Daphnia pulex: one gene and its partner. The protein of the gene in region 1 purifies or fractionates together with the protein of each later gene. This does not show direct contact. Links are inferred from orthologs where the notes say so. Each region holds a gene or a part of one and is shown on either strand. Other genes may lie near its edges.

Region 1 (5,138 bases):
AAAACTTCACTGGCCCGCCCGCGCTCTTTTGCCGTCATTCCAAGGCCCCCGTTGGCATACTCTTTTCCATATATAGTGGTGAGCACATGAGGCGAGTAAAGCCGAGAACTGCTGGCCCGGCTATATAGCCCCCTTATATATACATGTACACACATATCAGCTGGACGAGATCTTTCGACAACAAAAGAGAGCGGGGGCATGGAATGGACGGACCACCATCAGACAACTTGCCCAGGCAAAAACTGGGCAACTGGGAATTTTTTTGTTTTTAAAGAAGCAAAAAAAGAAGGAAGATGCTTGTCTTGTCTCGGGTGTTTATTCATTCGTTTCATGCTTATTATGCTTGTCCGTTTCGTTCGCCGTCCAGCCCGCCCGACCAGCGTCTGCCGGAAGGCAAACAACAACTCAAAAATAATAAAAGAAAACCAAACAAAACTTTTTCTTTCTTTCTTTTTTGAGAGAATGTCCGATATCGCATATCACCCCAACAGATAGGTGAACTTTGTTAACCGGACCGCCTTCTCCTCCCATTTCTTTGAACAGATTTGAAAAAAAAACACGTGAAATTCAAACAGAGCGACTAATATCTCAAACTTTGTGTGTCTTTTCTGTGTTATAATAATCTCAAATCGGACTCCTGATTGTGTCGCTTCGTGAGTGCTGCCCGTGTGGGGGTGGAACTGCTGGACCGGTTTTCTCGCATTTCTTTCGGAGCGGCTGTTTTTGGTGTAGATTTTGCTGGTGAAAGCGTCCGGGAGGAACAAAAGGAACAAGAAAAAAGCCGTGAGCGAGATCTCTTTATTAAAAGGAGAGTCGCCAGTTTGAAACTAAACAAGAGAGAGAACTCGAGAGAGAGAGAGAGAATAAAAACATCTCCATCCAGTCAAGTCGGACAGATCCAGCTGTTTTGGTATTCAGCAAACACGAGAGCCCATTGCTTTTTGCTTATAGCTCTCTCGGTTGTTGCTGCTGCTGCTGCGGCGGCAGCGACTGGCTGGGTCATTAGGCGCCGGCCCTAAAAAGGGTTCTCTCTCTCTTTTCTCAGTCATTCTGTGTGTGTGGCTGGACTCTTTTTTCAACTCGTGTAGTAGATATATATATATATATATACAGCTGCGCCCTTCTTTCTTTTTTTCTTCTTTCCATCTTTTCCCCTTTCTCTCCCGTTTTCAACGTTTTCACATTAGTCTCTCAAGCTCCTTGGAACACCTGCATCGGGCCGCTCTCTTTTGAAAGGAAGAAAAACAAAAACAAGCCGACTTCTTCTTCTTCTCCCCTCTATCATCTGATCCAAGACTACTTCTTCTTATATAGAGAAGCCTGGAAAAAAGAAAGAAAGAAAGAAAGAAAAGAAGTCCGCCGTGGAATTCCACGGGCGACATTCTCTCAGCTGCTCGAGAGGGGGTCCTTCCGCGTCCGTCGTCCGTTTTTCTTTTATTATTTGTCCAACTTGTTATTATTATTATTACTATTTGCCTCTTGTGCCTGTTCACCGATACTGTTCGAGCTCGTTGATTTCATTCTCACGGCCTTATTCTTCTTCTTTTTGGCTTGGAATTATTTCTTAACAAAAATTTTTGTCTTCCTGGACTTGTCCACACACAAACGGCGTGCGAGTCCCAGTGCCAATATTGAATAACCAGAAGCTTCTTCACATTCCAACTTCTTTTTTTTTTTTTTTTTTTCTTGAGTGAATGAACTTTTTTTTTCTTTGGTGACGACAAACTTTACTGGAGTAACCGTCCAACAACAAAAAACTGGGCGAGAAGGAGAGAAACAAAAAAGAACCGAGCTGTGTGCGTGTCGTCATGTGGAGGGTCTCGACGTCGACCACCCAAACGGTTTTTTCTCTTTTTGACTCTCGACCAAAGAAACAACAACAAAAAAGAAGAAGAGATCCAGACTTGAACGCGGAACCCGCCGGTGTCTTTAAGTTTTTCTTTTTTTTTTCTTTTTTAAAAGAGAATTTTTCTTTTTTTTTCAACTTCTTCATTTTCTTTTTGTGCTCATTTTCATCATCTATTCCCCCAACCCTCCATCTCTGTTTCAGTGTCTTTTTTCTTTTTTGAAAAAGTCGGGGCCCGACTTTATTACAGCGCGGCGGGCCGTCTTCATCGTTTTGGAGGGCAGCCAGATATCTTCATCTTCGTCGGGTTAAATCGATGATGGGGCTCAAATATTCACAAGTCTACACATAGAAATTTTTTCCTTTTTTTCTTTTTCTTCAATAGAAAAAGAAGACGATGGATGGATGGAAGGAAAAAAAGAAAGAAACAACAACAACAAAATACTTCAAAAAGAACCGGTTATTGTGTTTTGTTTGCGAGCCAAAAGTAGACTGGAAACTCATTCAGTCGGCGCCGGAGAGAGGCCACCCAGGCGACGGCCGATGGGGCCCCCAGATTAGAAAAATCAAACAAAAATGAAAAAAAAAAAAAGAAAAAGAGAGAAACTCTCTCTCTTCCAAATTCTTCCACCAAGTGTTGTGTGTGTGTGTGTGTGTATGTACATAAATATATACACACACACACACAGGCGCATTTATGTCTATACACAAAATTAACAACAAAAAAAGGAAGATGGCGGCGCTGGCCAGAAAAAGAAGAAAGAAAGAAACACTTACGTATCGAACATTTCGACGGTGACTTTGGTGGCGGCTTGGACGGCCCGCAGGTGGGCCAGCAGCGCGTCGCGGCTGAGTAAGGAGCCGCCTTGGCCGTTACTCGGCGTCTGGATGAGGATCTGATGGGTCGAGCCGGCTCCTTCGCCCAGCGTCCGTCTCATGTAGGCCAACTCCTTCTCCAAACGGCCACCCTCTGTGCAGGATCAACACATTTTTCAGAGAAAAAGAATAAAATAAAATAACTCCATTAGTTCAAGGGCACACACAAAACCCTCCTCTTTCTTCTTCATCTTCTCCCGACCGACCGACCGACCAACCGACCGATAGAGCCATCAACTCGGCCGCCATTAAGCCCTCGACTCTCTTAACGATATACCTCCACTCTTGAAAAGCCCCTCGAGATAATCACAGGTTAAGAGAGAGACTCGCAGGCATTTCTCCAGCGTATAGACAACAACAACAACATCTCACAATGTTTCAGGAGAAACGCCGACCGAATACGCAATTGCCCACCTCAAAGTTTGTCTTCTTCTTTTTCCCTTGGCTCGGAGTTTTTTTTTTTTCATCGGAATCACGCGGGATTTTCTCTCGCGTCCCACCCAGAATGTTTTCTTTCAGTCCAAAAAGAAGAAGAAGAAAAAATAAAGAAGAATTCAGAGTGTTCAAGTGGTCAAGTTGAACAACCTCTTTTCCCGAACGGCTCTGCGGCGCCGTTTTTAATGAGCTTCCTGTAAATAATGTTTTTTTTTTTTTCTTTTTCTTTTTTTCAAAAAGAGAGGTTGCTCATATTTTAAACACCCGAGTTTGTCTAGCCAATCTAACGTTTACGCTTTTACCGATTGCCAGGCGAAAAGAAAGAAGAAAAAGACGGGGCTGTATTTTCTTTTTTGGCCGAAATCGTATGGGCCATAGCTCTAGGACCGGTTTTTGAATAAATACATAGACATTCTCTCCTTCTATTGCTTCTCTTTGACTCGTCGAGTGAAGACATCACGGCCAACAAGTCAATTAAAACGATACGCTTATAAAACAGCAGCCTTCAGAGTTGGGACTCTCTCTCTCTCGCTATGGGTGGCCGATTGCTGGACCCTTAGGGACCTTTAAGGCTTCTCCAATGCAAATTCCATTCTCGGCTGTCTTGGCTATCCAAAACAACCGACCGACCGAAAATGACCGAAACACCAAAACGGAACGCTCGAGAGACAAAAAGAAGTTTTGTTTCTTTTGGGGAGAAAATCAGATCCAACTGATTTTCCAGAGTGACGTGATGGATTCACAATCCACCAGCCAACACGTACACACACACATATATATCTATCTCTCTTTACTCTATTCCATTTCGATTCTCTCTGCCATCAATGGCCAACCCGACCAAAATAACAAAAAAAAAAAAAAACTTCTTTTTTCTCTTCCCGTTGTGTGTGTGTGTAGAGGGGGCGACGTGCAGTGCATGTGTTGCGTGTCTCACTGGGTGGCCGAACGCGCTCAACCGGCCCCGAAGAGAAAAGGAAAAAAGAATGAAGAAGAATAAAAAAGGAATAGAGAGAGAGTATATAGCATCCGCATGAGTCTTCCCCGCGAGCAAAGTAAACGCAAAGAAGAAAACTCGGATGAAAGCAGAAGAGAGAGAGAGAGAGACTAAGAAACGAACTGAAAAAAAAAACTGTATTTTTCTTACCAGCCAAAGAAGAAGGAAAGAAAAAACGACCGAAAGAGGGTTCTATGTGTGTGTGTGTGTGAGGGAAACTACTACCAGCCGGTCTCTCTTGTCTTGTCGAAGAACCCAGAAGCAGGGCTGACCTTGATGTTTTGGGTAGGAAGAAGAACAAGAAGACGGCATTCCTTTTTAAAAAAACTGATCTAAACGTATTGTGTGTCGACGATATCTCTACTCTCTCTACTGTACTGGGCACTATAAAGTGCCTATTATGCGCACCACCCCCTGATCGCTGGATTTCCAAAATTCAAATGGGGAGACGCAATCGTCGGAAGTGATGGAATAATAGAGAGAAAAAAAGAAGATGGAGGTCAGAAAAGAATAAGGAAAAGAATAGGAGAGAGAGAAAAAATCTTTTCCTATTGTAACGAGTTTGACGGGTCAATTGAGAAAAGGGACGACCGATAGCCTCTCTTCTCGCTCTACAAGAGTAACACACACGCACAAATGAAAAGAAGAAGAAAAGTTTTCAGGTACGCTGGCTGGATACAATGGACCAAAGAAGAAAGGGGGGAAGGAAAAGAAAGAGAAGAAGAAGTAAAAAAAAAAAAAAAAACATTCTTTTCTAGCTCGTAAATTCTCTCTCCACCCCGCTGTCTTTTCTTCCTCTTGTGCCCAACTTTGGGTGTGCTGTACCTTCGTTCCCTTCCGTTGGGTGGTCCAAACAAGAATTTTATAACTTCTCTCTCTCCAATGTTGTTTCTTTTTTTCTTCCTCGGGTGACAATTTGGCCGTACGTCATCATCAGCCAAAAATAAGAGAAGAAGAAAAAACCTGCGTGATCAGGTATGTTCTTCA
Region 2 (5,138 bases), on another chromosome or scaffold:
GATTTACCGCTCAGAGAAGTGCGATGACAATCGACAAAAGAGTTTGTACATATAATAGACGTGTGCAAAGGCCCTGCTGCTGGCTCTCTCAAAGTCCAGCATCTTATATGTATATATATTTTTTTAAGTACCAGACGGACGCAGAATTTCAGAGAAGAGAAGAGAATAAAAAAAGAGAGTCTCTCTCTCTTTAACCAGAGAGTCGGAGCTGCTGGAGGGCGATTGGAAAATGGTTGCTCTTTCCATCAGATGAAAATGAAATAAAAAATAAATAAATAAAGCTCCGGCTGCTGGTCTGGTCCAACGAACCGGGCTCCCACGTACACGCACTAGACGCTCAAAGTAGGAGTTGCCCGAAGAAGAATATTAGAACTTTTCACTTCAGAAAAAGATTTTTTCTTTTTTTCTTTCCCAAAGAGGAAACCAAAATAAAACAACAACAACAACAACTGGCGCGTCCCGGGCATTGAAAGAATGATGGCACTTCTATAAATAGAAATGAACGTGAAACCACCACCTTCCTCTCTATCGTAGCCTCCCTCTTTCACGACCCTCCCGATTTTTACAAAATCAAACGTAGGTAGTAGTAAGTCGGTTGGTCGTCTAGCGCGTATTATAGAGTTTCCCTTCTTCTCTCCGAGAAGAAGAATCAATAACGAAATAGAAAACTGGAAGAAGAAGAAGAAGAAGAAGAGGAGATGCGGCCTCGACTTTGTGATTCCAGCCGAGTATTTATAACGAATCAACAAAAACCTCCAAGGAGAAGAAGAAGAGAGCCAGGGTCGACGAGCGACTATGTCAGAGAAGAGAGAAGAAGAAGAAGAAGAAGGAAAGACAATAGCACAAGCCCTATCCATCAAGACGGATCCGGTTCGTTCTATTCGAGCTTTTTTGGTTGAATTGTTTCTCTCTTTCGGTCGTTCGTTTTCGGGAGCCTCGAATCTTTTTTTTTTGTTTTTTTGTTTTTGTTTTTCTTTTTGATTTATTCCGGGGTGATGATTTGATTTTGGTCTTACCTGATTTGACTGAAGCGTGAATGTGAGCCCGCGACTCGTAGTAGACCCAGTCGAATCCGGCCTCGACGGCCAGACGGGCCAGCATGCCGTACTTGGAGCGGTCGCGATCCGACGTCGTGATGTCCACGCCTCGTCCCTCGTAGTGCAAAGAGTTGGCCGCGTGCAGGCCTTCCTCGTCCCAGCCTTCCGTCACGCGCAGTTTCACGCCCGGCCACTGGTTCATCACCGAAATGGCCAACGTGTTAAGCTTCTCTTTGCATCTCTGGAAAATTGGGGAAAACAAAAACAAAAAACAAAAATCTGATTATAACAAATTTGGCGCTTTCAATTTGAAAAAAAATATTTTTTAAAAAATAAAAGAAACACAAAGTGAACGTTTCGTCCCGTAGGTCATGAACGACCTCGTCTCTTTTTTTTTCTTTCTCTCTTTCTGGACGGCCGGCCGGCCCTCGAGACAAGAGATTTGTGTAAAGTGTGATGCAGGTGTTCAAATGAAAAGAAGAGGTAGAGAGCCACCTGCGGACTCGGCGCCCGTGTGCTCTCGCTTCAACGGTTCACGTTTTGGAATCAATTAAGAGCGGCGCGGGCACCGCACACACAGAGCCCAACAGAAAAGAAACGATTTCCAAACCGGACAGCAGCCCCCCGCATCATTTCGATCAACAAGAAGAAGAAAATGTTAAGAAAAAAAAGAAACACAAATTAAAAAAACAAAAAGTGTTATTTCTTCTTCTTCTTGTGTATAAATCTCATCATCTCATTTGTTTTGTTTAAAAAAGAAAGAAAAAACAAAATTCTCCGCCGTTTTTGGTGGTCGGATTTTATTTTAAAAATAAACTATCCGACGTCATCTCATTATGTTTTAATTAATAACAAACCGGCGAGCTCCTTTGAATTCCCCCCTAGCTATATAAATGTAAATCAAATATTACACAAGCCGTATCCGTATATATATAAGCCTATTACTGCCTACTTTCTCTCTCTCTCTCATATTTATTAATGATGCGACAGTCCGTCCACATACACACATTGATGTTTCCAGAGATTTTGTTTGATCTTTGTCTTTCTCTCTCTCTCTCTATACTCTCACGATGCTATTAGTACGGTAAAGAAGAACCGGCATACCGGCCCAGGAGAAGAAAAAAAGATATAGCTAGATATATACACACTCGGCTGCTATTTGCCGCCCTTCTTCGACTATGCGCCTTCAACTTCTTCTTTTTTCTCTCGGTACACACAGAGAGAGAGAGACACGACCTCCCACCTTCGCATGTTTTGATTTCCCACGGTGTTCTTTAAGTGTTTTCTTTCTTCGACTCTCTCTCTCTCTTTTAAAAGCGGGAAGGTAGGAGGAGTCACTGGGTGAAGAAGAGCCGCGCGCGTGATTTGTCATCCCTTTTTTCCTCTCTCCTCTTCTTCTTCTTCTTCCTTTAGATTTTTATTTGTCTTCTTTTTCTTTTTTTTCCCTTCACTTCTTTTTTGAAGAGCTGTTAAACGAGTTTGACTCTCTGGCCGTCCATTTACTGAACACACACCGATGGATATGAGGGACGGGGGAACTTTTTTTTTTATTTTTTCCGACCAGCAGTTTCCGTTTGGTATTTTACTTTTGTCTAAACAACACGGAGATGAAAGAATAGAAAATCTATAAGAGATAACACACATTTACCGCCGCCCCCCATAACCGAGAAATGGTTTCGAGTGGGGCGATGACAAGTGGCCAGTGTACGAAATTCAAACAGCGCGCGGCTCTTGAAAACAATTTGGGTAAAAAAATACCAAAAAGTCGACCGCGCACAAACACGGGCCGATAAGGCGACGACGCCGACGACGACACAATTTTCTTGTTTTTCCCTTTTGGCCAACGGTGTTTGCATAGTTGGAAGAAACCCGATAGGTTATTTGTGTTGCATCTCTTTCTGTACGGATACGAGTTGTGACTCTGTGAATGTTTGTTGTAAAATAAGAAAAAAGAAAAAAAAAACCTTTGGGCTGGTCAACTGAGGCCCCAGCTGTCAGAGGACTTTGGGGGCTAATTGCTCTTTTGTACAAGCCGAGGCAGCACGTACACAAGAGAGAGAGAGAGGGACGTTAGAATTTCAAACTAATATAGGGTGGAAAAAGAAAAAAAGCCTATTCAATTTCTATGTAGACGATTCCACAAACAGCGAGAGCTGGAATCTTTTTTTCTTTTCTATTGTTGAACTGTGCGCGCATCTTCCGATTGGTGTTCGCCCTTTTGGCTGGCCCGTCTAAGCGCGCGAGCTCGTTATTAGCCGGACGCCAGGTGTTTGAGTGCTGCTGCCACAGCAGTGCCTTATTGTATTATATTTTCAGGATCCCAAAAGGGACGGAAGGAATTTTTTGTCGAAACGAGAAAAAAAATTCAAGAAAAAGAATAAAAATTTGTTTTAGTTTGGGGAATTTACTTCAGACGGACAAATCGATGGGAAAAGACGACGGACGATGTGATGTCAAAAGATTCATCGACCTCAATCTCGCAGACTAGAAAGAGAAGAGAGAGAGAGAGATGGATTGCGACATCGTCGCGGGGTTATTGTCCCGAAGTTGCGCGCGCGGGTGTTCCCATTACAAACGGCGTTGACTTTTCGTTTGCCTTTCTCCGGGCGGCAGAGACGCGCCGCTCTTCTTTTCTCTCTCCTGGGGGACACAACACAACTGGGCGAATTCCAGGAATGTCCCCATGCCCGTAAAAAGGCTACTACTATACGGTACAACTCTCGGATTGATTTAATAACAACAACAACAACACCGGCCATAGAAAGGGTGAAGAAATAACAAATGAAAAGCGACCGAAATCCAGACAGACACACAACTCCTCTCACAAAAAGGCGTGTGTGTGTGTGTGGGTTCCAGTAAAAACGGAACCCCCTGGCGTGTGTAGACCAGAAAACAAAATTTGTTTTTCCAGGAGAGATGGAGGGACCATATAAGAAGCCGCTTGCTGGACCCGACCCTTTTGTTGAGCTGGAAATTTGGGGGGGTTCCGGATCCCTTCCGCCGCCGTACATAAATGTATATAATTCCGCCCACACAATTCGTTCTGATTTTATTCTTGCTTTCATTTCACCCCCCTCTCTCTCTCTTCAAAGAGAACTGTAGTACACTGTACGTGTAGGCCAGCCACTAAAAAATGTGTCTACAAAGTTTTTCTTCCAGCACACGGGGGAGAGATGGAAAAGAAAAAGGTGGTGGTAATATAATGAATGATCGGGCCATGACTTGACTATTAAACATTTTCTTGTCTCTCTGGCGCGCAGCAAAGGGGCTAAACTCTTACAGTATACATGTTGTCGGTCCTTTTTTTCTTTCTTTTTGAAGGAAAAATGCTCTGTACAAATGTACAGAGAGACATGGGGGATAGGGAGATAAGAGCGGGCGGCTGGACAAACTGCGCCGGGGCAAATGGGAGGGAGGCGCGGCTGGACTCCAAATGACAAGGTAGACCAACACACTGCCGCTAGAAGAAAAGCCATTTTCCCACTTTTTCGAATGTTTGAACGGCCGATGTTTTGACACAAAATGAAAAGTCGATGGCAGTTTCCCTTATTCAATAAAAAATTCAACTGATTTTTTTTATTTCTTTTAAAAATAAGGAATAGCTCATTATTATTATATGGTAGTATATGGAAGGGGGGGGGTTCCAGATTTTTTTTTCTTTTAGGGTCGGTCGGAAGGAATTCGAAGAAAAATATGTCTGGTTGTCTCTACTCAAAACGTATCATTAGCGGCGGTCCGGCTTTCAAACAAAACAAAAAAAGGAATAGTCTCCCATGTGGCATTGACAAGGTGGGAGGGACTATAGACTGGAATAATCATTAACCCTTCAGAAAAAAGTTTGCAAACTTTCCATCCATCTTGTAAAAAAATCTATTCTCACTTTGCTTTCGTTTTTAATGGAGGAGGCCCCAATATGAATTTTTTTTTTCAAATTTCCCGCTTTTCGTGTTGCGGTACATATACTGTACGTATCCAACTCACGCGTTTGAATTTGTCTTTTAACCGCCGAGGGGATGACCTCCGTTCACCCACAACAACCCAAGAATCAAAGTAGTAGTCGTAGTATAGTAGTAGTCGTTTGTTGTTTTCGGGTGCTGGGCT

Evidence for each region. Proteins that work in one complex are often made in the same cells at the same time.
Region 2: the proteins of protein patched-like (region 1) and sonic hedgehog protein A-like purify together in Drosophila melanogaster (affinity purification with western blotting; 3 studies listed by BioGRID). This does not show direct contact. The link is inferred for Daphnia pulex from reciprocal best matches to the Drosophila melanogaster genes ptc and hh.

Annotation. Positions count from the first base shown.
Region 1 is NC_060018.1:5,084,751-5,089,888, reverse strand, and holds part of protein patched-like, read right to left. Parts: intron 2,817-5,138; coding exon 2,624-2,816; intron 1-2,623. UniProt on the Drosophila melanogaster protein: Segmentation polarity protein. Acts as a receptor for the hedgehog protein (hh). Associates with the smoothened protein (SMO) to transduce the hedgehog signal leading to the activation of wingless, decapentaplegic and patched itself.
Region 2 is NC_060017.1:3,411,332-3,416,469, forward strand, and holds part of sonic hedgehog protein A-like, read right to left. Parts: intron 1,279-5,138; coding exon 1,017-1,278; intron 1-1,016.